4 linked regions of the Alligator mississippiensis genome follow. The protein of the gene in region 1 interacts with the protein of each later gene in a pairwise test. Links are inferred from orthologs where the notes say so. Each region holds a gene or a part of one and is shown in the gene's direction. Other genes may lie near its edges. The genes, in order: HTT, HOXC4, TCERG1 and PKM.

Region 1 (7,593 bases):
GTGCAAAAGACCTCCATCTTTCCCGTTGCAGCTCTACTACTATGCAGAAAAGAAGGCACACAGCAAGGGCAAGAGAGATTCTGGCAGCCTTCAGGGAACAGATATAGGCACCTGTCCTTCGGAGAGGAATTTGGGCTCTAGGTTTCAAGCAAGTGGAACCTTTGCTCAATTCCATCCTTTGCCTGAATGATAGAAGGGGATGGGAGTTCAGCCTTAGGCCAGTACTTAGCGTTTTTTATTGGCTAGCTCTAGGCAGTTGCCTCAAATCCCACCTTGAAGTGTCTTAACTTTCTCTGTGCAGGGAATCCAGGCACCTAACTGCATTCTGTTCTAGAGGCTATGTACCTACAAATTGTGTATTAGGGAGTCTAACTTGTCAGGATTGAAGTTGGACCTAGCCCTACAAGGAACTCTGATACTTCTTTTATTTAACTTAAAATAATCAAATATAGGCTTGACTAAATAAAAAATTTTCCATAGCTGAGGGGATACTCTGGAGCATCCATGTCAGGGAAGACAGCAAAGCTGAATTTGTATGGAACCAAAATCTATTTAAAAAAATCTTGTGTTAGTAATTGGAGCTTATGCTGCAGCTTTTCTCCAAACGAATGACAACAGCTGGCATAGCACTTATTCAATAAACAGAAATCAGTGATGTGAAAACAGGATGTACAGAAGTAAGAAAACAGAAGTGTAGGATTTACTGTGCAGTTACTTTTGCACTAAATAGGTCACATTTGTTCCTTTGCTACTTTTCGAAAAACATGTGCCTGAGTTGTCAGAGTTTTTAATTACACAGGGAAAATATTCCTTCCTTGTTTTAACTAATCTAACTTGTATAATGGGGGAGTTGCGATTAAACATATTCTAGCACCAGTTTTAAAACCAGCAGTTGTAACTGTATGGAAAATTCATTGCAATACCACATTGATTTTTTTTTTAATTGGATGGGCACTGACAGACATATTGACTTAAAAAAACAGCTTTATAATAGTAAGCTGTAAATTTAGCAGTAATTAATTTTGAATAGCAGAAGAAAATACCCTGGGATGTGGCACATCAGGCATGAGAGAGGAGTCCTTCCTTCTGGGAAATCAAAGTATTTGGAACATGTTTTATGGTCAAATAGGACAAGATATGAAGAGGTTATTCTAATTCAGTGAATGCTATACAAGTAAAGAGGAAGTCCATATAAACATAAAACATCATGCTGGTATTTAGTGCAGTAATATAGGTACAAAATAAATTTAGTTTGACTTTGACCTATACCTGCCTCAAAACAAGGGACTGGAAAACAGGAAAAAATGGGACCTCTTCCAGATTAAATTATTCACTTTGACAAGAATTGATGATGCGTTGCCAACTTTCAGCATAGCTTCCTGTAAAAATGTCTCCATTTACCCTGGTCAATGCCTTTGTTCTGCAATAAATGCATAGGGAGAAAGGAAGAGTAGGGAGGTGTTTGGCTTTTCCATTTTGATAAAGTAAGAATCAAGCAGCAATAGCGGTTGGCAAGCAAGTGTGTATTAAGTGCAGTTGCTGGAAATGGGTATAATCTGTTCTGTAAAACTATACTGAGTACTGATAGTACAGCAGTATTTGGCAAGTGTAATTTGCACTGTGTGTATAATGTATGAAATACATACTTCGGCCTGATAGTGGCTTCCGAAGATCTCTTGATTAATACATCCAATACCAGCCTTTGTCCATTCCAAGGAAAAAGCTACTTTTAGGACTTGTTTTTATGAGTTTATACATCGTTAGCTCTGTCGCTCAAGGGAAACGATAAGCATCCCTTCCACATCCTACATTACTGAGTTGAGCTTTTTAGTTTAATTGAATATACCCCTTCCCCTGACAAAAATGCGTCTTTGCCTTGCTTTGTACAATGTCTGTGAGTGAGAAGTACAGTCTGGTCTTCTGCTTCAAAGGGCAGGAGATACTGCTTGGCTGCTGCCATGTCCCACAGGAGAGGGCATGATTATTGCTTTGGCAATGCCCATCCACTCTGCTCTGCTGGTCCAAACATAATGAGTGGGGTGTACCCAGCCCTTGCTTTTAAGAAAGCATGAAAGCCAGGCCTACTGAAAATGGGCATAAAAATGAAAGGAGGGGTAGGCTGGGGGAGAGCTCCATTGGACTTCTACTTCAGGGTGTCTCCTGACATGGGCAACTGAAGCCCAGTGATCCTGTTGACTTGTTGTGGAGGGTCTGTGCATTAGTTGTGTGTGCATTTTTTTACATACAAGTTTTAAGTAAACGGGTTTAGAAATGGATTTGCATGTTGAGTTTCAAATGTATATTCTTTGTACATGTATGCAGTAAACACCCCCGCAGGGCTGGTGAAGTGGGGATGTGCTTGTCAGAAGCTGTAAGTGGCACCCCAGCAGTCTGGTTGGTTCTCTCACTTGGGTTACTTCAGCTTGTCCCCCTTGGAGGTTTGATGCTCTGTGCCATCCCACCCCTGGGTAACTGCCTTCACTTCTGTGGGGGAGTCCTGAACACCCTTTTTTGCTGTGCTGGGTGTGTCACTATGTTTCACCTCCCGGATGCTCTGATCCTAGAAATAGCTCGATCTGAATGAGAGAAGCAAATCAAGAGCAGTGAATTGTGAGGCACAGTTTCAAGGGAGTCGAGATACCCAGGCCAGCGATGGCACCTGATGGTAGTAAGTCATGACCCTAGGAAAGAACAATGGTCACGAATCATGACTCTGTTTCCTTACTCCCTACTGAATAGGTCAAGAGCTCCTTATCTTAGAAGGAGGAGTGGGAATTCAGACACTTGAACCTGAAGGGTATAAGACTCCCCCAGACAAAGGCAGAGGTGGGCGAGCGTGGAGCTTGCCTCACACCCTGGGGGCCCTGGTGTAGCAGAAAGCCCCCTTTTCCTCTTGCCTGCATTTGCTCTCCCCTCTTAGAATATGTTTTTCCTCTTCTACCTTTTCTTCCTTCCTCTTTCTTTCACTTTAAGATAAGGAATTGTGTTTTAAAATTTGTATGTGTGCATTTTGTATCTCCCCTTGTATTTTGGTATTTTTATCTATTTGTGTGCCATGGCATTACTCTTGTAGCTTATATTTTATACTCCTCACCTTTCAACTTTCAACTATAAATGTCTTTAGTAACAATGTTAACAAGGGCAGGAGTCAAACTGTTGCTTCCCTGTATCAGGCTGGCCCCTGAAAGAGCGAGTGAATCAGTGACTGAATGCATAACACAGTAGCAGACAGCAATTAACACCTAGGGAAACCGCAGATCAACCAATGGAAGAAATCAATAGAAGACAATGTAACAACCGGGAAATCTCTAAACTTCACTGTTCAAGGGCTAGAAGCCCTGGTCTGAGTTAATCAACGCCGGGGACCAACTTTTGGGATGAATATCTCCAGATCGACCGCTCCCAGAGCCCTATTCAAAATTAATCAACGGACGCTCCACGAGGGTCAACGACCCGTGGATTGGGCAAACCTGAAAACTGGGAAGTCACCAAAGTCTGCCAAGGACAGGTAAAAAGCAGTGAAAAGTGACCGTTAGGGGCGCCCTCTTGATCTCCAACTTGACCAGCACCTGACCTGTCCAGTCAGAAGGACCAGCCGGCGACCCCCTTCTGGAAGATAACACCACGCTGGAAGAAGCCTCAACGGCAGACTCCAGCGCCTGTGGGATAGCTATACCTGACTCTCGGAGCTTGCTACTGTGGGGGTGTGCATGTGTGCGTGTGGGCATCAGCTCCAAGGCTTATGATTTAACTTCATTACAGTGTTTCAATCCGCCTAATAAACCAGAATTTTAAGGATCCTGAGTTGGACATTTGTAGCCAACACTGGGACCTGGCACCGCGCAATGAGCCGGGTTTCTCTCTGCATGTCCCTGCTCTCGGGGACGCTGCCTGACTGCTAATGCCCCAGTGCGCTGGTGTCTGCTTCCGAGGGAAAAGCAATCAGGACCGTGGTAGAGGTGAAATCTTTTAGATTTTTGCAAAAAACATGATTTAATTGCAAGCTTTGGGGGCGGGGGGGTAAAAGTCTAGTTGCTCTAATAAAAGAGATCTCCTCTACCACAAGTCCTGATTGCTTTTGCCTCCAGACCAAGCCAGCTACAACCTAGATATTCAGAGGAACTTGCTCTGTCTTCTCTGGATAAAACACGAGCTCACACCCCCCGGGACACCCCCATGCCCTACCCCACTGCGACGGGGGCAGCTCGGGGGCGCACCCAACGTGCCAGTCTCCTTTCTAGGAGCTGTGGGGGCTGCTATGAATCAGGTCCCCCCTCTCCCCTCCGCCTGGCTCAGCCGCCGGGCACGAAGCATCGGCACCGCATAGCCAGCAGAGGGCGCCCGCGTGCCGAGTACCCGAGCGGCGCTAGGACCCGCCCACTAGCAGAGCCAAGTGGGCGGAGCGCCCGGAGGGAGCGTGGCTCCGTTCGTCACTGCAGCTCTCAACCAAGCTTGTCATTTCCCTCCCTACCCTGCTAGTGGCGGGGAGGGCGAATCCCGGGTCCTCGATCTTCGTTTCTGATTGGCGGATGAGGCTGTCGCTCCCCCCCCTCCACCCGTTGCCCTCGTGAGCGCCTCCGCGCGGGGCACGACGGGACGTGGCCAAGATGGCGGCGAGGTAACCCGGAGCCATCGCGGCCCCTGCAGCGTCTCGCCCGTTCCTCGCGGCGCCATGGCCACTATGGAGAAGCTGATGAAGGCCTTCGAGTCGCTGCGCTCCTTCCAGCAGCAGCAGGGCCCGGCCACCGTCCCCGAGGAGCCGCTGCACAGGCCGTGAGTGCCGGGTCGGGCCGAGGGACCCCCCGAGGCGGCAGGGAGGCAGCTCCCGCCGGGCCGCGGGCTCCTGCTGCTGCCGCGGAGCCGCTGCCCAGGGAAGCTGTGGGCTTGCCCCTGTCGGCAGAGGCGGTGCGGGCCCTGGCCGGGGCGGTGTCGGCGTCTGCCTTCTGCTACGGGGGCTGCCCCCGCTGGCCGGCTCCCCGTGTCTGAGGGGCTGAGCCTCCCTCAGAGGCGCTGGGTGTTGGCTGCTGCTGGCACCAAACCCGGAGGTTTCTGGCTGGAGGGCCTTGCCCCTCTGCTCGGGGTCAGTCCGGTCGCCACATTTCATGCCAGGGAGAAATTTTTAAGCTATGGTCAGGTTGGTGCAGGCTGAGGGGGTTTTGCTTTCCTTTGCAGGATTTGTTGAGCGATGTCAACAACATCTCATAGAAACAGGACGCTGGCTTCAGCGGCGCTCCTGCTTTACCTGGGGCAGGCTCGGGTGTGTTGTGTCAGGGCTGGCGGTCATCTTAGGCACGGTTTAGATTATGGTTTGAATAGGGATGATCCTGTGTGGGGCAGGGTTGGACTGGATGAGCTCTGAAGGTCCCTTCCGCCCCTGCTTCTGCGTGACTTGACGTCTCTGTTGTTAAGAGCTCAGAAAGACCCTGCAGGGCAGAATGGTTTTTAATGTTGTGGGTTCTTATTCTGGGGTTTCTCTTGTGAACCATGTTTGCGCAGCTAATGGTACTGACGTTGTGTGGCATCCTGTGGCACCCCGAAAGGGTCTCGCAGCACCCCAGAGTGCTGAGGTGCCTTGGTTGAGCTTCGCTGACTCGGTGCGTGGTGTAAAGTGGTGCGCACTTTACATTGGAAGGAGCAGAAGGACGGAGAATATGTAATTTCTGAAGTGGAGGTTTTGGCAGCTTTAGGCATGGAGCCAGTTAGCAGTGGAGCTGGATTCCTGGGCACCAATGCCAAACCCAGACATCAGGCAAGCTGAAGGCAGGGCAGTTTTGCCGCCTTATGGAGTATCCCAAGGAGATTATATATATATATATATATATATATATATATATATATATATAGCACAAGCTTTAGTGAGCCTAAGCTCACGTCAGATCCTCTGAAAGAATCTGCCTAGAGCCTGCATCAGGGAAGCTGACATGGTATACATTGTTTCAAGAGAGTTGTCTTGAATGATCTTTATTTATTTTTCATGTTCTTATGGCAGGGCATGTGAGGAGAGCCGCCTGTGCCTCTGCTATGGAATTATATCCAGCTTTTCTGCATGTGTTGGTGCCTCTTGCTTCTTGGAGGGTAGGCTGAGGCATTTTCATCACTGAACAGCTTTAATACAAGCTTTCTCTTATCCAGTTTAATTGCATGTATCCAGAAAGGTGTTGATAAAGTAGCCTCTTACAGTCCTTCTCCAAAAGAGCTCTGGCTGTGAATTACTGCAAATATGGGCATGAAATACAAAAATAAAAATTTGTCTTGGGAACCTGCAAAATAAACATTGAGAAATCAGACTCTGACCTGTCCTTATCAACTCTGTTGCAATTTAGAATTGGCATAGGAAATTGGTTGTTTTGGGAATCCCCAGGAACTGTATGAGTGAAGTTACAATACAACTGTACTCTAACACTACGAAGGGTTATATTGGTAGTCTTTGCTTTAATTTTTTAAAATGATTTTAATACCCACATCCAGAAAGCTTCAGGCATGTGCTTTAAACTGAACTAGGGATACTAATAAGGGAGAAAAGTCTTATCTTTTTCTGTATGTTTACTTTTCATTTAATAGACTTTTGTGTAAAGTCTTTCACTGCTTTACCTCCTACAACTGTTATTTACAATATGATAAACGATCTTCTCAGTTGTTCAACCGTTCAGTTGTTCAACAATCTAATCCAACAGTCTTCTTAATTGTTGGTTTAAATCTTTCATTTAGAAGGAACAAGGAAGAGAAGGTAACTTGAGAACTAGATGTGGCAAAACTACAAGCTGGCTGGGTGGCTTAGTGACATGTACTTGTTCTTACTGTGAAAAGTTATCACTGTAACTTACAAGACCTTGCTTACTCAATGTCACTGTATAAATTACAACTTCATATTGTAAATAACTTTGAAAATACAGGAATACTATTAGGATGTTGGGAGGCTTGGAATTCAGACAAAATCACTTTGTTTGTAAGAAGTACCTGCATATAGTATAAGATTATAATCCATTTCTGTTGGTTATAGGAGGGAAGCAACTTGTGAATTTGTTTTTCTCTCTCTCAACTTTTCCTTTTAAACATTATCAAGCTATTTACAAACTCTCTTATTTTTTTTAACTGCCACTTCTGTCTTGGAAGAATGCAAATACTGAGGGTCAACTATACTTAAATACTTTAATAAAATTCCATCTGAATGCTGCTGGGTTTTTTTTTTAATGCGGGAGGAGCAAGAGAGAACTTTTTAAAGCATTCCTTTGTGCCATCTTCAACTTGGATGTTGTTTAGTCACAAAACAGCAACCTGACTAGACATAAAAGTGAAACTACTAGTTTCTTGATTACTAATTTTGAAAATTACATTTAATAATAATATTAGTTTTGTAAGACGAGCGTTACCTAAAAGAACCACATTCTGTTGTATGGACAAATAAATATTTTTAGAAGTAGCTTTGGTAAAAGTTGTGACAGCATGGTGAACTTTCAGCATTTAGCACGTCCTCCTGAGGATATGGGCAAACTGTTCAGTTTGAAGTGAGTTAGAGGGGCAGGTGGGTGGGAGGGAAGAGGAGGATTTATTAGGGAGTAGGTGACTGCTCTACTCCACCTGAAGAGGACCCGC
Region 2 (7,004 bases), on another chromosome or scaffold:
ATAGCTTGCCACTAACCCCACCGCGGTGCCTTCAGTTCTCTTGGAGAGTTGGAATAACTAAGACATTGCAAATATTTCCCTTGCGCTCGTCTTCCTTTCGCTCAGCGATGGAGATGGGGCTGTGAAATCTTTCCATCTCTTGTTTTCCCCTCTCCCTGCTCTAAATGGACTACATCATATAGGGCAAGAGGAAATAAAAGTAGACGGGTTGTTTACCCAGATAGGAGAGATAAGCAAGCACAAAATTCCTAGGATGCATTGATTCACTGCACAGCGTCTGGGGTTTGCGTGGGACATTCCTAACCCAAAACACGAAGCTTAAAGGATTTAAATGCCTCGGTGATGGGCAAGGCTGGACACTGCTCAGATCCCCAGCAAGAGGCAGGGCTCGGCTGCGGGTTTCATCCCGTATTAAAGCATGACTTCAATGTGGACCCGTGCGCTTACCCAGCCTCCCCTCTCCCCTCTGGTGCCTGTGAATGTGCGACACGGCGTGTGTGGGGCTAGACCCGTGTGCCAGGGTGTCTGCAGGTTCAAGAGAGCACCACACACAAGGTGTGTGTCCATGCGGGGCGAAGGAGTGCGTGCTTGCTTGCAGGGTGTGCGGGCAAGGGAAGTGTGTCTGTCTGTCTGCAGGCATCTGATCCCTGCATCCCAGCATGCACACACCTCCGAGCCCTGGAACCGCACACAACACACGCAACACGGCTGTACCGCACACCCAACCGTTTCTAGTCGGCTGCTTATTGTAGGGCAAACAGACGTGCTTATCAACTCGTTTTCTCCTTGGAAGAGCTACAGAAATAAAATAAGGCTCGCTATAGCCTTCGCTCTTGCCAAAGTAGCCACTTAAGGTAGGCTGGTTTATTAGCCATAAGCCAGACGGGTTTATTTGAACTGAGGTATCATCTTCAGGGTTATTCTTCTGGCATTTACAACCCGGTAGTTATCTTCCCCTTGCTACAGTGCAAGGCGTCTGTGCACCTCTGCATCAATGTTAGCAGGCAAATTCAAGCGAAGTCCCTCAGGGCTATTTCTAAACTCCTGCCTTTTGGGGAGGGGAAAAAAAAAAGATTTTGATGAAATCTTACATAGGAAATACCCAGATTATTATTATTATTATTTTTGTTCACGGGGATTAGGCAAGAGCGAGAACATATCTCATTTAAAAATAAAATAAAATACAAGAAAACGTTGGCGGCGTTCTCTATCCATCATATTTAAACCCCCGGCTCTAAGTAGTTTGATAGGCACAAATAATACAGAACGACATTTATCTGCGCAAGGGTCTGAAGGGAAATTATTGAAACTACAAGTCAAGCAGTTCCCCCCCTCTTTTTTTTTTTTGGCTAACTGTTTATGGGCTGCAGTCAACACAACAGAGTCGCATCTTCAGCTGCCATCCAGTGATTTTCTCAATCATCCCATCATTTCGAGAGAGAAAAAAGAGGGGGGGGGAGGAGGAAAAAAAAGAGCCATTTTATGAGGGGAAAGTAATTTCAAAGAAGATGCGCTCCTCACAAAGTGGCTTATACCGAAATGATCATCGCTTCGACATTACTGAAATTAGACTCATCTAGCCGCCTGCAGTAAGAAATATCATCCTATTCCACGCTTTTTATTAGCCAATCAAATTTCCTTCGGATCTCCATTTGTGATTTGTGAAAAATATAATTCCGCGAAAAGCTGATCTGCAGCTTATTGCTCATTTTGCCTTAATTTATTATTCTAATCACAGCCGCCGCTCCACGAGAATGCATCCATTAGGCTCAAAAATTCGTTTAGATTTTATACCGGAATATGGGCGCAGATTATATTGGAGAGGCAACGAATTTCTCAGGCGTTATGTGTATATGCATCTTTTGCCAACACCCAACACAGCTCGGAAGGGGGTGGGTACAAATAAGAAAGTTTGAGAAACTTGGGGAAGGGGAGATTTTTTTTCCCCACCTGGCTTCAATTTTTTTCCTCACTTCACCCCATTTCTCCCCCAAAATTGGCTTTTCCTTGAAGAGAAAGGGGAGGGGGGGGGATAACAAGAAAAGAGACCTTTTCTAATATTTCATTCCAGCCCAAGAAGTGGAAAAGCAGCGTTGCATGGGGCTGAGATCCTGTAGAAAGGTCATATTAAAATAATGGGCCGAAAGACTGCTTTGGAAACGGGTCGGGCAGGTTGTGGGGTTGTTGGGGATTTTTTTTTTTCCTCGTTGTTTTTTTTTTTTTCCTTGCAAAAGATAAAATGTCCTGTTCATTTTATGGATTCTTTTCTCTCGTCTGCTGCTTTGGAAAATGGCAAGTCCATTGTGTTCCGGGCGCTGTTGTGCCGCTGGCTCCCCGCTCGTAACTTTTAACTACCTGTTATAAAATTTATTGGTGGTTTGTAAAGTGAATAAAGTAATTTCCCTTCCATCCGGTTGTATTGCAACCTTTGTGTTGTTTGGACAGACAGACACACACGCGTGCGCCCTCCCCCCCACCCCCCGCAACCCCCCTGCCCTTAGCTGAAAATAAGCAAATAAAGGCAAAGCGATGAGAAATACCTGCAGAATTGACCTTTCTCTATAATACGAGAGCAGAGGGGGGAGATATGTGTAGAGCCCTTGAGTCCTACTATTGCGACAAAAATGCGGTGATTTTTTTTTGTGGTAGTCTTATCTCTCCAATCTTTGTCCTGGCTCTTGTGTCTAGCCCTGAAGCGAGTTGAGATGGTCAAAATATTTCAGGGGTGGGGGTGGAGGGGGGGGAAGGAGGAAGAAGTGCAACATTTAATCTGAACTAGCAGATCTAACTAAGAATGCTGGGCGATTTGCAAAGGTTATGGGACTCGTCACATGCTCCTAGCAGGCCTCTACATGACAACATTTTTTTGCCCTAGCACCAAATGTCTGTTTTTCTTATATCGGCTTAACCCCCCAAATCCAAATATCAAAATAAAAAAAAATAATTCCTGATACAAAATATGCACCCCCCCCAAAAAAAAAAACCCACCACCAACCTTGTGCGATAAAGGGATGAGGGCTCACAGACAAGTTCTAGCTAGGATTTCCAGACACGCCGTGATTAAAAATAAAAGAATCCCACCACGCCATCCTATAATTGGGAAGGAATTAATTAATTACACATACACAAAAAAAATACCGCCATAAAAATGAAGGCAAAAAAAATTAAAGGAAATTGCTGGGGAAATACGGCATTAGCTGCTCCCCTTTGGAGGTTAATAATATGATCCTTCCCATATCTTTAGTGTTGAGTTAGAGGGCTCGGTTATGTAGCACAGAGGATATGGAGGAAAACCCGAAGGAAATTGGGGCTCAGCCCCGACATCCAAGCGGACACACCCTTGGTGGAAATTCAAGAAAACCCACAACCCAACTCAGTGGTCTTTATTCCTAGCTCTGCTTGAATTTAACAGGGGTTGATCATTGTATGATGATGATTATTATTATTTCAATTCCCCGCAATATCCCTATTTCCCCTCTTTGCCTCCTTCGTGCTCATTCCACTAAGACACTTAATTAATTAACCAAATGAACACGGCGCATAAGGCCAAATCTCCCTGCCTTAAAAACCCAACAACAACAACAAGTCCGGCTGATCCTTCAACAAGGCAGCTCAGACGTGACGAGGCAACCTCGCTCTTTGAAAATCCCCGATATTAATTTGTTCCCTTTAATGAAACTGGGCGGGGGGGGGGGGACGGGAGAGAGAAGGCTTTTTAAAAAAAAATACTAATATTAAAAAAGAATTGTATAAACATGGCGACAGAGGAGAGCATTTGCACTCGTCACAAAAATGCAATGCATTCCTGGTTGTTTGCAGAAAATTTACAGCTAAGCAATAAAAGTTTACGACTGAATCACAAGTTGGATTGGCCACAGGAAGTCATGTGGACTCCATCCATGAACGTGAACTTTTTATTGTGGTTTCTCTTATGACTCTTTCGCAGTAGTCCTTCCTTTAACAGTCCAAGCAGTGCCAGGGGTAGGATGGTATTTTTCCCCCCTCATTATTAGCATCATTATTATTATTTTTTTTGAGATCTAGATTTTTTTTTTCCTCTCCTTGGGGTTGGAAGTGTTGGTTGCCTTGGGCATTTTGGGATATAATGTGTTTACTGCTGCGTCTCGTGCTTGCTTCCTTTTCTCAACCCCTAGGGGCAAAACGCAGTATATTTCCTTTGGACGATGCAGTGAACAGGGGCAGAAGGAGTTGTAAATACCGTTTTTTTTTCCCTTTTTTTTTCTTTTTTAGGGAAAAAAACCCCATGCTATGCCTTGCTAAGCTCCCCCCATCCCCTGTCCAAGCAGAGAAGAAACTGTTTCGCTTTGGTTTCCATCTTTCTTATTTTTTTATATGATTATTATGATTATTTTTCCTTTTTTTTAAAAAAAAATGTTTCTGTGGAGCTGAGCTGCAGCGTCAGTGGATCAGAAAGAGAGAGAGAGAGAAAGAGAGAGAGAGAGACAGAGAGAGACAGGGAGAGGGGGAGACAGGCAACGTTGGTAAGTGTTCCCTTATTGGCTAAAATGTGTAACTAATGATCCATAGCAATGGGTGTTAAAGATAATGATGCATCGGGGTTTTTTTTTTTTGCGAGCGAGGGGTGTAGCTTGGATATGGTAGACTTGTGCTGGGCTTCGGCACCAATGCAGTTAATTCGGGGGAAGAGGGGCTTGCTCCTGCTGATGTCACATTTGTGCCGATCTGGTTTGCTGGAGACAGCCAGGGATGCTTGCTGCAGCCTGCTTTTGCATTGACAATGGTGCAGTGTTCACGGGGGTGGCGGGGGGTGTGTGTGGGGAGAGGGGAGGGGGTGTTGCTGGAAGGCCTCAGATGCATCCGATGGACCATCTACTAGTTAAAATTAAAGGGGGGGGGGATTGCAAGATGGGTGTTGGGTGGGGGAGGGAATAAGAGGGGGGTGGGCAGAGAGGGCAGGGGCCAGCTGTGGATTGCAAGCCCTAAGCACCAGAGCCAATACCTCCATATAGTTCTCTATATAAAAGAATCCCCAAACTTTTCATAAGAGGAAATCAGGGGGTGTCTACTGAGCACACATGCGCAGTGCGGGCCGCGAGCCGCATCCAGGAAGCGTCCTAGCAGCCGCCGTCTCACTCAAGCGGTTTGTGCCATTTTTAATGAGCAATTATGGCGGGGGGGGGGGGATGTGTGAGTGTGTGTGCGTGCAACAAACACGGCCTTGCACGCCCAGCCCCCACTGCCTCCAGCACATGATTTAAGGCCAGGTTCGTCTGCCTGGTTTTATTCCGAATTTCTTCCCACCCCCCACCACCAAAAAAAAAAAAAAAAAGAAGAAGAAAACACCCATCCTGTGCTCACCCTCCCATCCGTACCTCCACTCACACCCGGCGGCTGGGCTGGGAGCTTCCCACGAACCCGGTTCTTCTCCCCCTATTGTGCTCCTGGCCCTCGGCAGGAGATTGCAAACCTTTTCTCCCGGCTCTGCTCCCTATGGACACAAGTTGCAGGCATCTTTTTACATGAGGGTGCTCCTGCTAATTCCACCTGGGTTTCCCATGATGTTGACCCCCTAGAGTTTTATTCAGCATCTATTTCCCCCTTGTCTTTGAATACCTTTTCCTCCTGAAGGACCTTTAGTGAGTGCAATGGAAAGGAGACTTTCTTCTTACACACGCACAGACACATCTCTATCTATCTATCTATCTATCTATCTATCTATCTATCTATCTATCTATCTATCTATCTATCTATCTATCTATCTATCTCTAGATACCTACCATCTCTAGCTCTCTATATCAGCTCTCCATATATCTCTAGCTCTCTATATATCAGGCTGTCCACACTACTATAGAAAGCGATCCACGTATTGGTTTCACTTAAGGGATGCGCTGTTCTAGCTTAATTTTCTTTTCTCTTCTTTTTTTCCTCCTTCTTATCCCCTCGGCATGCCGGCTTTTCGTGAACTGTGTGTCTGTGTTTGCAGTCGAAACTCCTGTGGCTGGAAGTCACAGTATAAAATGGTGGGCATATAAAATGATACCATAAAGTAAAAGATAAAACAGACGTTGTTGTGACTATGGGCTGGGAAGGGGGGAAGGGTGGCAAAAAAAATTGCTGGTCCCTGCCTTCTTATAAATTATTGAGGGGTCCCAGCTATATGAATGCAATATATGGATTGATCGCCTTATCGAAAGGACCTCTCAAGCTGATTGAGTTCAGGCTTAAACCGTGCAACGGAGGGATACTTTCTGCTTTCCTGGGTTACAAAAAAATACGGCCTCTTCTGTCCTTTAATTTCCAGTGGGAACTCGCCAGAGGTTATCTAAAGTGATCTGAGTGGTTTAGAAGTTCCCTGGGACTGATTCTTAATTTGATTTCTCTGTGTGGCGTGGAAAAAAATAACTATTAAAAAAAAAAAAAAAGGAGAGGAAGAACTTGCTAGGGTTCAAAAAGGGACATGTGCTTCTATCCTTTGTCTTAAAGGTTGTTTTGAGAAATATTGTTAAATCCACCTGATCATTCCTGCCGTGTATTATTATTATTGTTGTTATTATTACTATTATTACTACTACTACCATCGTCATCACTATCATTATTGTTACTACTACTATTATTATTGCTGCTATTCATGTTAGTATTATGTTATTATTATTATTACTGCTATTACTATTATGATTCGAAAAATTGCCGGCGTCTTCGGTTCATGCAAGAGCCATGCGACCTGGTAAATTGAAAACAGTTGCTTTCTAATGAATGGGGGAAAAAAAAGAGGCGAGTTTTATTTGGCGTCTTTCGAGGGGGCAATTTCTGGCAGGCTCATTCCTGAGATGATTTTATTTCTTTAAAGGAGAGCACGAGTGTATCCTGAGCTGGGGGTGGGAAGCCAGGGAGACAACTCTGCCTTGGTTTTGTTTCTGCAAACACGATGGGAGACTGTTTGCTGCGATCTCTGAAGTCGTAAAGACAGTTTATGGGCAAACAATGAGCGTTTATTGGAACCACATGATTACAGAAATAGGATC
Region 3 (7,434 bases), on another chromosome or scaffold:
GGTCATGTACCAAAAATGGTATTTTATTAAAAATTCCTTAAAACTTAGATTGAATTTCTTTCACAACACCATGTGGCATCCATTCAATTAATAATTTCAAAGCCCCAATGAATAAGGAGGTGCAACATCTTATTACGGTCTTTCATTGGCCTTCTGCCCTATTCTATGTTGGCTTTAGCACAGGAGTCCTGTTCACCTGTCTCTCTGTGATGTTTTGCCCACATAACTCATGTGTGTTTGACTGTAACCATGAAGGCAGGAAGGCACCTTAACATCTTCTGGCTTTCAGGAAGTGAGGTGCTATCAGGAGACAGAACAAACCAATCAGCACGGCAGAATTTCCACATTCAACCTTATGGGAATCTGCAATTCTGTATTTAGCCACTAAGTGGTGCTGGAGGAAGCTATACATTTGCAGAAATTCAAGCTGCAGGCAAGATTGCAGCATGAGTTATCAGCAGACACTGTCACTTTCTCCTGAAGTAGGGACCCAAGTAAGGCCAAATCCACACTGGTATGAAAATATCCGTACACTAAACTGAATGAGCACTCCTTATGAGCATGAAGCTCTACTGTTTGAACCATACAGTAACCCATTCTCATGAGCAAAACAGGCTAAACTGCTAAAAAGGGGTTTCTACCAGCAGTCATGTGTCACCACATCATACTTTTTCACATCCCTGACAGACGTAGTTATACTAGTACAAAGTCTGTAATGTAGACCCAGCCTAAGGAACAATTCCCTGGACTTAAGAATGCAATGCCTCCCATGCAACCAGGCACAGGAAGAAGATGCATTTTTAATTCCCACCAGCTTTGCTCCTCAGAGTGGAGCCAGCCTAGAGGCCATGCCCTGCCTTCTCTCTGTTCCTTGTAGGAATAGCTAATACTGCTAGAGGAGCACTGCTGCAGTGGCTCTAATACTGGCAGTTCCCTGCCCTTGGACCATAACATTTAGGGGCAGGAGGCAAACTTCTTTGTAGCCTTTCTTCCAACTTTATGCATCCACTCAGAGGCCAGTTGCAGTCTGGTGTGATGAGAGGGATGGCTGATGCTTGCTTTCTGAGTTGCTTAACTTATTTCTGCACAAAATGCCAGTTGGCAAAAGGACTTCTTCCTTTTTTTATATTTTAATAAAATGTAGCTGAAAAAGCAAATCACAAGTTCTTTTTGATGCTTAGATACATTCACCAAAGAGCAAGTGAGACAGACTCCACTTCTGTGCAAACTCACTGTAGACTCCCATCTGTGACTGCATGAATATTTGATGCTAGTGGCCAGTCTACATGCCCACATTACTGACACTTTTGCCCAGAAGCTACTGTACAATTATCAGCCATAAGAATAACTTAAAAAGAGCTCATTCATTAGCAACATCAAAGGAGCTGGGGAAATATTTTTTCCAGTTAGAAATTTTACACGTCAGGCCACATAGGAAAGAATCTTACATCCTAATAATCCAAATGACTGGGAGCTGTAAATAGGACATAGTGGGAAAGAGGGACCTTGTAGACACAGGGTAACATGCTGGGTTTTAGCCACCACACCAAGGCAGGATTTCTATAGCCTAAATTGTCTTCTGTTCTAAGCATCAGACCTCACTGAAATGACCCAAGTTTCCCCAAGAGGTGAAAAGCCTGTGCCCTGGCACAGAATTTTCCGATGCTATACTGTTGTGTCTTTGTTCTTGAATGTTCTCATTTGAGACATTGCCTGTTTAATTCCTAGTTAAGTCCATTTATCACTGCCTACCATAGCAATCCCTACACTCTGCTACTTATATCACCAGTAATGTTACTGCACATCAGATAGGCCCAAGATGATCTGACCACCTCAAAGCATAAGGCTACTTGGATGAAGTGAGTTTTGGTTCAGGCATCTCTCTAGGATACTGATTTTTGTCCCATGGGAATTTTCAGTCTATATAAAAAGCAATAGATAACACCTAGCATGACATGCTTATTTGTTACCACCTACACACCTCTTACTTTCTCATTTCTGATTTTAAATATTCTAATTATTCTTCTAGTATCCATGGTTGCCAAGAAAAACTTCTGAAGCCTGATCTGATGCCTGGTTTAGTAATAAGGTGGAGACAGGCTGTAAAAGCTGCCTAAGGTTAAGGTAATTTAATAATGGATATAAAAACATCCACCTCACGTGGGCATTACAAGGTTTAATTAATATCTATAATGCAATTTGGGAACTTTAAATGAAGGATGACATAAAAGTGGAACCATATTTCTAAGAATGTATTTATTATGATTCCTAACATACATGTTAAATCAAAACCAGGGCCCTGAAGTTTTTCAGCACCTGAACAGACTGAAACTTGAGATCATTTCACACTACTGCTGTTCAAGGGGATCTCCTAGTGAATGAAAGGAGAATTGCAAAGAGCTTGTATGGAAGGAACCTTGTATATTTTGTATCCAGATAAACCTTCAGCAAAGTAGCATGTCATCTTTGACATCTATACTGTGCATGAAAAGCAAAGGCAAAGATATTGAAGCAAAATCTGAAGGAGTCATGACTCAAAATTCTCCCTTCCCTAAGCAATCTCCCCTCACCACCACACCCCTCTGTTAGAGCCCTTCCCAAAGTTAGCAGACCGACAAGCCGTCTCTGGCTGGGACAGAAGCAAAGTGCAGAATAGACCCAGCTGGTAAACTGGAAAGAAGTCTTAGGTAATCCCATTTCCTAGAACTTTAAGGAAACTTTTATTTATGGTCTTTGGAAAAAAGGATGGTCTCTTTTTTTATACCAGTTTTGTAAAAAGCCTACAAGGAGCTCTTGGTCCATGACTCATTAATGATGTAGGCTCCGAGGTGCTATTGCACCTTTAGTGATACATCCCCGGTTTGCAGCTAAGGCCCAGTTCTACTTAAATATTTCTTGTAATTGTTAACTTTATTAAAATCTTTGACTAGCCTAACCTTAAATGATGTTTCAAGGCGATTTTGAAAATCTCTGCCATATAATAATGGGGTTTTGGACTCTCACAAAAACACCAGTCACTCAGGGCCTGGCTCAGTGAAAATTAGGGGCCAAATGGTGGGGAGAAGTATGACCTGATGGATATTGGGAAAAACAACTGTTTTATAAATAGGCTTTCTTCAGAACGAGACTGTAGAGAATTGGAAGTGTTTATTTCCACATAAGTTGTCCCATTGTGAAAGTTACAGGATTCCAGTTTGCCCAGTTGGACACTTTTAGCATAGCGCCTTGCTGTGTGGGCAAACTTCTGCTTACGCTAACGCAGCCAGTGGAGTTAGTGAGTGGTTGTGCATGGCAATGTTGCCACCTTGGTGATTTCATTGCTATATTTAACAACTTTTTTGGTTCCTATTGGCAAAATGTCAGTACCAGGGGCCCTGGATCAGTTAACTCACGCAATACCCAGTAAATTGTCTAGGGATGTTTTTGACACCTCTGAAGATCTAATTTTGTCTGGACAATTCCTGTTTTCAGGGCTCAGCAATGCCAGTGCACAAGGATTTGCTACAGCCTATCACTTTCAATTGATGGTAGGCAACATTCCTTACCTCAACTATTAGCTTGTTTCTCGTAAGACTTGTTACCACACAGCTAAACTAACCAAGTTGTGCCTGTCCCATGTAGGCAAAGACAACCCCTGCAATCTGGGAATAAATTTCAACACATTAGTGGCCACTATGCTCTTAGGAGGAGAATTTTTTATATATATTCCCAATAAATAAATAAAATAGATTACACCCATCTATCTAATGGGGGTGGGGGGTATGCGGCAGGGCACAGGCCGTGCCTTGAAAGGAGCCAGAGGCGGCTCCTGGGTCGGTCCCAACCCACGTGCCGCCGCCCGCTCAGCCCCAGGCTTTAGAACGTAGAAACACGAGCCACGCAACACCCCGGCCTTATGATGGAACTCAGCATCACCGAACGCGGCCTGATTGGCTGGCACCTATCCAAACAGCCCCTCATTGGCTACCGAATTAGAACTTCGTTTCCTGCCGGGCTGGCAGGCGGCCAGGCTCTGGGGGGTGGGGCGGCGGCCCGGAACTCGTGCCTTCCCGGGATTGGTTAGGAATTCCTGATCACGCCGGTTTTTGATTGGCCGCCTTCTGATCTTTGATTGGTTCCAATCCCAGTCGCCGGGCCTGGAGGAGCGCGGGTTCTTTCCTTTCCCCTTACCTCGGATTGGTTGACGCGGGACGTGAGCTCAGTTCCGCCGCGTCCCGAGGTCACCCGCCACGTGACGCGAGGTCGCGGAGGCCGTGAGGCGGTGGGGTTCAGCCAATCACCGCTCGTCGGCCTCCCCTCATTCAAAGTCGGCGGGCGCGCGGGCCAATCCCTGTCGGTCCCGCCCCCGCGCGCGGCGAGTGACGGCTCCGCCAGCCAATGGGAGCGCGGTGGGGCCTGCGCGGCGGCGGCGGCGGCGCTGGGGCTGGCGAGGTTGCGATGGCGGAGCGCGGCGGCGGCGCGGGTGGAGGTGGCGAGGGGGACGCGGCGGCGGCGGCGGCGGAGCGCTACAACAACGAGATCAGGTAGCGCCGCGTTGAGGGGCTCCGCGCTCCTCCCCCCTCCCCCCGGTCCCGCGGCCGTTGGGCGCTCGGGGGAGGTGGCCTCCCGGGCCCTGCCCCCTTCCCCTCCCTCTCCCCCTCCCCCGCCGGGCCTGGCTGGGGCTTGGGGCGATGCTGCCTCGGGCCCCGCTTCCGGCCATCGCCTCAACTCCGCCACTCAGCTAGAGTTTCTTTTAATTGATTTTTTTCGGGTTGGAAGGGATCTTGGTAGATCGAGTCCGACCCCCTGCCCCGGGCGGGAGAAAGCGCTGGGCCGGGACAGCCCCGGCCAGGTGCTCGTCTGCCCTCTTCTGAAAGACCCGCAGGGTAGGGGAGAGCACCGCCGTCCGTCCGATAACGTACCGTGTGTGCTCGACGAACTGAAATCAGACGCGGTGTAATCGGTGCGTGTTGCCGTGCGCCTTATTGTAACCTCTGGTTTTTTTAGATTATTTTTATTTTTTTGAGTCTCCGTGCCAACGTCGGTATTGCACTGGCACTAAATGGTGGGCACAATTGTTTTCCTGAGAGCGTCAGAAGAGCGTTTGTTGGTTGCAAAGGTGAACGTTGTTTTTTTTCCTCTATCTGTGCACTTATTAAGGTACCTGCGTACTGGGCTGGGTGGCACCGCGGGTTTAGCACCTCAGCCCTTTGCTGCTTCACATCAGGGCTTGACTCCTGCCTTGGGTCACGAGTGAAAAGGATGTAGGTGGTCTCGTCCGAGTCCCTGGTGGATGCTTGTTCACGTTACAAAAGAAATAAAACCCTGGGTGCAATTGGCAGCTGTTGTTCGAAGAGCCCAGGATGCGCGTGTTTATAGGCATGGGTATATAGCAGGTCACGTTTGAGGTGCTTGGCAGATCGGTTTGAGGGAAGCTTGCACAGCACCTGCTCCTTCTGAAATCGTCCGATCCATATGTTACTTGTTTTTCTGACTAAAAAAGAAAATTATACACAAGAGTAGTGAACCTGAAATGGTGAGACCAGGGTGGGGAAACTCTTAAAGCACTTGCACTTTAAATCCTGGTCGCTGAGTGTTAAATTTGTCACATCCTTTTGGTTTTTCTAATTTCACTTTTTATACAAGCAGCACACGATTTTTAGACCATCCCATAGTTATTCAGCAAACAAAAATATATTTTTTCCTTCTGCCCTGACACAGAATGGCTCAGCAGCAGGCACTGAGATTTCGTGGTCCAGCTCCGCCACCAAATGCCGTTATGAGAGGCCCGCCACCTCTTATGCGTCCACCTCCACCTTTCGGTATGATGCGCGGTCCACCTCCGCCACCTCGGCCGCCCTTTGGACGTCCTCCGTTTGATCCGAACATGCCTCCAATGCCACCTCCGGGAGGGATTCCTCCACCAATGGGGCCTCCACATTTACAGGTAAAGAGCTTGCGAATGGTCAGGTTGCTTTCTTTTTGCTTTGATGTGGGTAGAAGTGATAAGGCAAGCAACAGCCAGAAGTCTTTAAAGCAGAGAAGAAGACAATAATAAATGCTGAAAAAGATGGGGGTCAGAGTCCTCTTAGATCAGGGGCGGGCAAAATGCAGCCTGTGGGCCAGATGCAGCCTGCCAGGCCATTCTGTCTGGCCCACGGGGCCCATAAAAGATTTAGAAAATTAATATTTATCTGCCCCTGGCTGCCTGTCAAGTGGCCCTCGATGGCTTGCCAAAACTCAGTAAGCGGCCCTTCGCCCAAAATAATTGCCTGCCCCTGTGTTAGGTGAATCATTTTGCATCAGTTTCGGAAGTGTTAATAGTAGATCACTGTTTTGATAAGTCATCAATACTAACCTAATAAAATCACATAAAAAATCATTAATAGAGACTCTTGGCCAGTGCAGAGTTGTGGTTGTCTTGCAGTGCATCATACCCTTCCAAAAACATTGGCATGGTACAGCCATGCTCAGAATTACTGAAAACCAAGCATTACACAGCTAAGGTGTCTTCTCTGCCTTTCTGTTACGTAGCCTGCACAGCCACTTGGAAGGGGTCAGTAAGAGTGGCTTAGTAAGAGATGTGAGTGATATTTATTGCTCATGTTTGACAAAGATAAATTCCAGTATGCACTGCAGCTGCAGCCAGTGTGTGGTGTTGCTGTATTTAAGGGTGAAGAGCTTGGTTGGAACGGTTGTGATGTGATGCAGATGTTGAGGGATCAAGTTTGCCTTGTTGGAACTTTCTTGAGGTGGAAAAGGAGGTCGGCCTAAGGCCTTTTTTTTTTCTCTTCTCCCTCCCCATTGTTGGTGGCAGCAGAAGAAGGTGGGCAGTTTTGGGCTCTTATTGTTGATTAGGGAGCAGTGGAGGGAAAGGGCCCTCCCATGGTCTGGTGCAGAAGCTATAGGGAGGATACGTGGGTATATGTTTGAGGGAGGAGGAAGAAGGAGAGAGAGATGGCTTGACAGGCTTGTGAGGAAGAAAAGTCACTAGAAGGAAAGGGGCCCAGCTGTCATTCCTTTTCACAGAGCTGAGCTCCTAGAGAGTAAAGGTCCTTTTGAGGGTGACCCCTTAATCATTGAGGGTTTATAGGGAAGATAATTCTATGGAAACACTGCTCTTTGACAGAGCTCTGATTACTGTCCTTGTATATCCAAATTATAAGTGATCTTTAGGATATTGAACTTATAATAGTTACTGTTTAAGGGTTTGCTTGTCCCTCAGTAGCAGTGCCGGAGCACAGCCTGAAGAGGCAAAGGTTGGCAAAGAAACTGCCTCCACGCTTTTGACATTGCTCCCACAGCTGTTGTTCCCGCTCCCTGTTTTGATCCTAACCCTTTTGCCCATACTTCCAAAGCATGCACCAGAAAAGCCCCAAGAATCTGAAAATGTTACAATTCGTTTACATTGGACGATTAGGCCTGAGGAACTTTTTGACCAACTGCCACTGAGAT
Region 4 (7,527 bases), on another chromosome or scaffold:
AAGGATTTTGAATGGAGATTTTCCCTCTTGGCTGTTAGCTCTGGGTGACAGGAGAGCACCCACACAGCCAGGAGATAGTGATTATATCCTTGTACAGACAATCAAACCAACAGCAGGCTTAGCTCGCGTGGTGTGGCAGAGAAGACCTCACCATCTGTGTAAATGGGAGGCTCTGTCTGTGCATACCATGCTAATACCATTAGGAAAAGTGAATCTAAATGCTTATTTACAATAGGGCGCTGGCATCTTATTGTAACTGGAGGTGTGGTAGGCACAGACTGAGTCTCCTGATTGTATGGTGGCTTCTGATGCAGACAAGAGGTGCTAGCCTCTGTCAGAACCAAGATTCCTCTGTAGGCAGGAAATGTCAGGCCAGATCAGACAGCTATCTAGCATCTCCTCTTCCACCTCCTGTAGCTGCAGAATCTGCTCCAGACCTAGCCATGCTTAAAGGAGCTTGTAGTCGATTTTGTGCCCATTTTCAACAGCCTGTGTGTCATGGGCATGAGGCAGCTTTGGTCATCATGTGCAGATGAGCATCTGCATGGAACTGCTCTTCTCCTGTCTCTCCTCTCCTCCTCCAATCCCCTTTCCTCTCCCTTCGTTGATGGGGAGCTAGTGGTGGGAACAGATCATTTTCCTTTGGAGGAGTATAAGCTGGTGTGGTTTTTCCAATGGGAACTCTTCTCCTCCGCTAAGTGTTGCTGCTGCTCCATCGCCAGGAAGTCTGGGAACCTGCAACCCTACAGCCCCACCCCACTGGGCCCAGCTCCATGCACAGATTCCCCCTCAGCTTCCTCTGCCTGAGGGGATGTGCGGGTTCATAATCCCTGCGGCACAAAGCCCCCTGCCAAGCGCCTCACAGCCAGGGCCCATTGAGAGAGGCTGAACTTGGAGGTTAAATCAGGGCCCTCCTGTACCTATGAACCCTGCAGCTGGGCACACAGGGAACCGGTTGGGGTGAGATCCCTCCAGTGGCTCCTGTGACTTGTCCCCACCACCCTCCTCCCTGGGAGGTGGAAGGGATCATGTTGCAGCACCTACCATGTCTGGCCAAATGCTTCACCAGCCAGGGAAGAAAGAGATAGTAGGAGATAAGAGTCCTCAGAAAGGTTTCCTGAAGCAGAGAAAAGTGAAGATGGAGCTTTCTCTCAGAGAAAGAGGAGCTGTGTCAAAGCCTGAATATTAGACAATGGTGGAATAAGCCGTCCACAGGGGACACGCCTTCTGAATCCCCTCAGGCACCATCTGGCTCATGCCTTGATGCACAAGGGCTCCTGTCTCATATCCATTTATATCCTAGCTGGTGTCACTGTAGATGAGAACAGCACAGCATGGGGGGTCACAGACTGAACCACCACTCCTTACAAATCCGGCCAGATGTGCAGCCAGCAGTGCCTCTCACCCCCAGAGGTGGCCAGTGCCCGCAGAGAAACATGTCCTTTCACTTTTCATTAGCCAACCTCTCTCAAACCACTGCCCCCTGCAAGCCAGCCAGCTGAGGAAGGAAGAGCCTATTAACATATTCATATTCATAGTCTAATCCTTGATTGACCCCTATTACGTTCTTGATTTGGGTGAATCTCTGAATCACAGGTTAATTTTCTAGCATTTCTTTCTATTTATTTGAAATGTGCTTTCTCTTCATTTCATTATCTCTCCCCTTGTTTTTGTACTATGACAAAGGGGGAGCAGAAGCATGTTTTCCAACTCCTCTGCACTATTCATTAGTTTATATACCTATTTCATTCATTTATACGCCCCTCTCCTGCCCCTTCAAGCCCTAACTGATTGATACTTGAACCCCTTAGCTAATAATGCATGAAGTTTAGGTTACTTAGTCAACTAGGGATTCATTATTTTAGATTCCAGGTTCTGGCTACAGCTGTAAGGTTGACAGTAGCCCCGAGTAAGAGATATAGGCCAAGATTTTCAAAGTAAGAGCCCTGCATTTTTAACTCAATCCTTAGGTTGCTAAATAACTGACCTGCTGAGGACCCCACAGATCCCACTGAAGTCAGTGGCTGCTTGGCATTTGTGAAAATTAGGCCACATTTAGGATCCTAAGTTTAGATTCCTATTTTTGGCCTAAGACCTCAGTGCTTAGGCACATGCTGGACAATCTCAAAATGCTGAGGGGAGAGACAGTGTGACCCAGTGTGAGCAGCTCATAGACTGGTGCTCAAGAGACCTGGGTTGTAGTGTCAACTTTGCTGGTGATTTTGAGCAAGTCATTTACCACTTCTTTGTGCCTCAATTTTCTCATCTGTAAATGGAGAAAAATTATACTGATTCCCTTTGAAAGGCATCTAGAGGTCTATATGATTGAGGGGCTTCATATAAAAGCTGGCATTGTTATTAAAGCAACATAAACAGTAAGACCCAGATCCTCAAAGGTATTAAGGCCCCGAATTATTAGGCCTATTTGATTTCAGCTGGAGCTAGGAGCAGAAATGGAAATCTGAGTCTAAGTGAGCTATATATCACTTTCCTGATTTTGGTGCGCTGGCTGTTATCCCTGGTCCTTCGGCATCTATAAGCCCCTGTGCTGGAGAGTGATTCATGCCACCTTTAATTGTACCTAAAAGCCTCTACATTGCTTAAAAATAAAAACCTCTGTTGTTTTGCTTTCAAAATGTTTCTCAGTGTAACATTTCAAGATTCCAGCCTGATGAATATGTGAGGACAGGAGGAATGCAGGCTGATACAGAAGAAAGCAGGCATGCTACATTATTCACCAAGGTACATCAATTATTTCCAGCTGAAAGAAGAGACAATGTGACCTTAAAACCACGGCAGACTAGTCACAAGCTGCTGCTCCATCATACTAGCTCCTTCTTGGAGGTTGCTAATCTGCAACACCCTCCACCCCCCTTTCAACACCAGCAGCTATGAGGGAGCCTCAGCCCATGCAGGACATCTGACATCCCGGATACAGGCAGCTGAGTGATGGGCCGCTTCGTGGGGGAGGGGGCATCTGGCAGTCCCAACAACTCAAAGCTAAGCTCCTGTGGGCAGATTAGGATTTTGAGAAAGGGGGAGCAGATGATGCGATACATCATCCCATATGACACAATGCACGTTTTTCTCTAGTTAAAGAGAAACTAGAGATGCTACTAATAGGCTAGGGGGGCTAGCACTATATTATTTCATTTAAAGTGGGCTCCTTCAGTGCTGCCTGAATAGAAATGCGGCTGCCTCTCCCAGGCAGGTGGTTTTGAAGTTGGGGTGGAGCAGGAATCCCCCACCCTGGATCCGACCCTGCCAGATCCTCCATCTCTGGGGGGAGTCTGCACAGCGTGGTGAAAGGTGACTGCCTGACCTTTTGGGCAGTCCTGAACTAGCCTCCAGGGAAGTGGAAAAAGGGCCTGGTAACCTGGGCCCTCAAGCTGTGTGCAAGCCAGCTGCACGCCAGCCAGGTCTCTCAGCAAGCCAGGCTTTTCGGATAAATGTGATATCTTTTATTAGACCAACTCAAATAGTTGGAAAAATTCTTCTCTGCCAGCTTTTGGGTACAAACATCCTTCGACAGACTGAGGGAGCATCTGCGGTTGTTTTGTGCTCTTCCTGGATGGGACAGAAGCCAGAATCCAGCATCCGGAGCAGAAAACAACTGCAGCCACTTCCTCTGCCTGGCAAAGGGTGTTTGTACCCAAAAGCTTGCAAGGAAGGCTTTTCCCAACTATTTGAGTTGGTCTAATAAAAGATATTTGGATTTATTTACCCAAAGAACCCTGTCTGCCTATGTCCTGAGGCCAACACGGCTACGACCTGTAGTCCTGAGCCAGGTCTCTCTTCCCTTCGTCACTTGACCTGCTGGGATCTCTGTGGCACTTTGCTCCCTGGACGCATCAATCTCCCCAGCAGCTCCCTGGGAGCCCTGCTGCAAAAGGCGGGAGGCAAAGAAGGACCCAAATGGGAGAAAAGGAACAATGGGAAACAGAAGACCCTTTGTCCCAGGGTTTCAGGGCCCTGAAAGGCAGGGGGAGGAGGTATTCAGCAAAGGTCCCCTGTTGGGCAGCCTGACCTCTGTGCACATGGGGGAGGGGAAAGGGGCAGCAATCGGGTCCTGTCCCTTTAAGAGGCACTGAAGCACGCAGCCTTGAAAAGGATGCGGTTCCCAAGGAGGCTGCCGGGTGATACGTGCTGTGAGGGGGAGAGCCCGGCCCTACGGGTGTGGGGCCCTGGACGGAGCGCTCCCTGAAAACCCTTGGTGCGGGGATAGAGAAAGGGGGTGGGGAACGCGGCCCCTTTAAGAAGCTGCTGCTCCTTTAAGACCCGGCGCTGTGGCTGCGACTCCGACCGCCGCGAGCTATAACGGGCGCGGCCCCTTTAATTGCCCCTGTCACTCCCCGCCCGCGTGCCCGCCGCCTCCCTATTGGCCGCCTGCCCGCTCGCGTGGAGACGCATCACTTCCTCGCAACTCCGCATCTTGTGCTTCCGCTGAGGGGAGAGAAAAGAAGTGCGGCGCGGCGCTGTCCCCCGAGCGGCGGAGGGATCCGCGGGGCGGTGCGGCGGCCGCGGGGCCGACATCACCTTGAGGCGGGCGCGGGGAGGGACCGGGCGCAGAGAAGCGGCGACGCTCGGAGGGGACAGACGCGGGTGAGAGCTGCAGGTAACTCCCCCCCCCCCCCCCCTCCGCGCCGCGTCGCCGGCAGCAGCAACAGCTCCCACTGTCTGAGCCGGGCCGGGCCGCAGGGTGCCCCGCTTCCCTGGGCAGGCGGGCGGCCGGCGCACGTGGGAGCCGCGGGTGCGTTGTTGGCGGAGCGGAGCGGAGCGGGCCGGGCCGGGGCCACCGCAGCTTTCTTCAGAAAAGAAAAATGCTAATTTTCGCCGCCGCAGATGCGGGGGGATGCGGGAAATAGTTTGTTCCCCCGTGGGGGGGGGGGCTGGGCTCGGCTCCGTTGCAACATCTTGTTTCGGTTTAGTTTCCCCTGCGGTGACTAAGCGCGGGTCGGGCCCCGCTGGGCCGGGTCGGAAACGGCATCAGACCGCCTCCCCCCCCCCCCCCCCCCCCCCCCCCCCCCCCGCGATGCTGCTGGGCTGGGACCGTGCAGGGGCGCCCCTCTGCCGCCCCCGGCCTGTCCTTGCAGACACGCCGCGGCTCTCGCTTCTGCTTCACCAAGGGAAATGAAAACCATGCTTGATCCTCTGCTTTCGGAGTCGGATGTGCATGGATGGCGCTTTTGTTGCGATCCAGTGGAAGCTTCACTTCTGTCTCCTCAGATTAATACAAGTAGACTTGTTCCCCCCGCCTCTTCTGTTTTATTTATTTTAATGTGTTTGTCTTCAATAGCTGGATGCCTGGGGCATAAAGTAACAGAAATCGGGGCTGGGCTTTCAGATCTGTGTGCGAGTGTTAATCTCTGCATCATCCCTCAAAGGCTTCTCGTTGCCTTCTGAACTGGGCTCCTTTAAATAGCTGCTCCCTAGCCTTTATTTGTGCGACAGGGGCCTCGCAGGGTAATGTTACCTTTCATCCAGCTCGAAGGCCTCGTGGAAGAGGGCTGCCTCATTTCCTAGACCCAGACAAGGCAGCTATGTGGCCGTGCCCAGCCGTACCTTTCTAGTAGGTTGCTTGAGACTAGAATAGACGTGGTGGGACTTGATGCCCAATACAGGGATCCTGGTTTTCTCCAATTTTAAAAAATTCCCCAATTTCTGGTTTGTTTTTTTTAAAAAAAAAACAAAAAAAAAGTAACTCCAGGTCCACATTTTCCTGTGATTTAAAATGAAACATCACTATAGGTATATATCTATATACTTTTTAAATCATGGAAAAATGTGGATTTGGGGTTAGGGCATTTTTTAAACCAGATAAAACCAGGATCCCTGCATAGTGTACCATGATGATTTCTGTAGCTAGTTCTCAGTCCTGTACTCCCAGTGATGCCAGTTAATAGCAACAAATTCCTCTGCTCTCCCAGCAGAGGAGTAATTCTGCTATGACGCAATGCATACGTATTTGGGCCTGCGTGTTTTAAGATCTTTCTGGAAGTAGGATCTGCTAGAAATTCTGGCAAGTTGGCAATGACGGTGCAGGCTGTCTGTCACTGCAGTAAATGTAGGATTGGAGGGAGCTGCATCCCCTAATTTTGTTCCAATCCGTTGTCAGTTGAAAGGAAGAACATGGCATCTCAACTGCTAACGAATAACAAAACCTCAGTGAAATGAACACATTGCATTCTCATGCTTCTCATGTAAATCATCTAATTCAGACTCTGCTTCCAGCAGAGAGGGAGAGGGGCAGTTTTGACTTCATAAGGTCCAAAGAGGAATCCATTTAGGTGAAGCTGTAAGGAGGTAAGGTCAGGACAAGCCATGTGGCAGCTCTGTCTCTTTCCTGTCCTTTGGTTTTGGACAAACAATTTCTAGTCCTAGGGGAGATTGGGTAGCCCATCCCCTTCTTGAAAAGCATCTGAGTTTAGCTGCAGTGTGGTGTGATGAACAGCACGTAGGAGAAAAGAGAGCTGCAGTACCTACTGGCTGCCACCACTGAATTACTTGCGCAGGAAGGCTTTAGCCAAGAGGGCAGTGCAGTTGCAATAGCGCAGGGCTGTGACCCATCTCTAACCTCGGCTAGTTTTGAATCTTTTTCTCTGCAAATACACTTGTTTCTAGCCCCCTCTGGATGGTCACAAGCCTTGTTTACTGACAGCACGGGAGTGGGATCTTGAGATTTCCTGAAATAACTTTAGCTGCACATGCTATCAAAGCAGTACAGATAAGTGACTGACCCTTTGTTTGCACCAAAAATACTCCTCTTTTTCTGGATAGGTTATTGGCCCTCACCTGTGTTGATCTGATAAAGTTATCTCGCCTATAGAGAACTCAGTTTTAAGCTCATCCTAGGACTTGACCCTCTCTGGGAGGAGCAAGTTGAGCTGGGTCATATGTTGATCTGGCAGCTAATCCTTGCTCATCCAGGGAAAGTGCTGATGTCATGCAGTACAGCTGTTCCAACATGACCTTTTTCAATCCTGTTAACTTTTTCCTCTGAAAGTCAGAGGAACATTAGCATCACAAAGACAGGCAGCAAATGTATAATTGAAGAGAGAGAGTGCGTGTCTGCAATTGTCATTTGGGTCAGGTGCTTTAATACTTCAGCTGAAGTGACAGGTGGTGATTCCTGGAACATGCCCAATATCACAGAAAAGAAATTGCTTGGAAAATGGGAGCCATTTTGCCTAGTTACATAACAGTGCAGGGTATCGCATACAAAAACCATAGGGAAGCAGAAAATCCTGTTCTGCTTCCCAGAAAAGGAGTTGCTGAATCTTTCTACTTGAGGCATTGGTTCAGGGGACAAACAGCAAAATGTGAGTTGTAGTTAAAATAAGTCAACTTTTCCTTGGAACAGATGTAAAACTGACACAGTCCCTTAGATGTTAATCTAAACAGCTAGTTCTTGGCCTTATGTGCCTTGATATTAAACTTACCACAGATGAGAGACTGAGCTTCTCAAATGTAGAACAAGCTCCTCTCACTCTTGCCTTTTATTCCTTACATACCAGTTCTGAGCTGTGC

Evidence for each region.
Region 2: the proteins of HTT (region 1) and HOXC4 interact in binary tests that used the Homo sapiens proteins (3 or more experiments, as listed by UniProt). The link is inferred for Alligator mississippiensis from reciprocal best matches to the Homo sapiens genes HTT and HOXC4.
Region 3: the proteins of HTT (region 1) and TCERG1 interact in binary tests that used the Homo sapiens proteins (3 or more experiments, as listed by UniProt). The link is inferred for Alligator mississippiensis from reciprocal best matches to the Homo sapiens genes HTT and TCERG1.
Region 4: the proteins of HTT (region 1) and PKM interact in binary tests that used the Homo sapiens proteins (3 or more experiments, as listed by UniProt). The link is inferred for Alligator mississippiensis from reciprocal best matches to the Homo sapiens genes HTT and PKM.

What each region holds. Positions count from the first base shown.
Region 1 is NC_081825.1:21,137,648-21,145,240, forward strand, and holds the start of HTT (huntingtin), read left to right. Parts: upstream 1-4,593; 5' UTR 4,594-4,672; coding exon 4,673-4,773; intron 4,774-7,593.
Region 2 is NC_081838.1:8,231,764-8,238,767, reverse strand, and holds the start of HOXC4 (homeobox protein Hox-C4), read left to right. Parts: upstream 1-3,997; 5' UTR 3,998-4,502; intron 4,503-6,949; exon of another isoform or gene 6,950-7,004. UniProt on the Homo sapiens protein: Sequence-specific transcription factor which is part of a developmental regulatory system that provides cells with specific positional identities on the anterior-posterior axis.
Region 3 is NC_081832.1:64,410,100-64,417,533, reverse strand, and holds the start of TCERG1 (transcription elongation regulator 1), read left to right. Parts: upstream 1-4,415; 5' UTR 4,416-4,437; coding exon 4,438-4,523; intron 4,524-4,986; exon of another isoform or gene 4,987-5,098; intron 5,099-5,700; coding exon 5,701-5,926; intron 5,927-7,434. UniProt on the Homo sapiens protein: Transcription factor that binds RNA polymerase II and inhibits the elongation of transcripts from target promoters. Regulates transcription elongation in a TATA box-dependent manner.
Region 4 is NC_081834.1:45,149,306-45,156,832, forward strand, and holds the start of PKM (pyruvate kinase PKM), read left to right. Parts: upstream 1-4,508; 5' UTR 4,509-4,615; intron 4,616-7,527. UniProt on the Homo sapiens protein: Catalyzes the final rate-limiting step of glycolysis by mediating the transfer of a phosphoryl group from phosphoenolpyruvate (PEP) to ADP, generating ATP.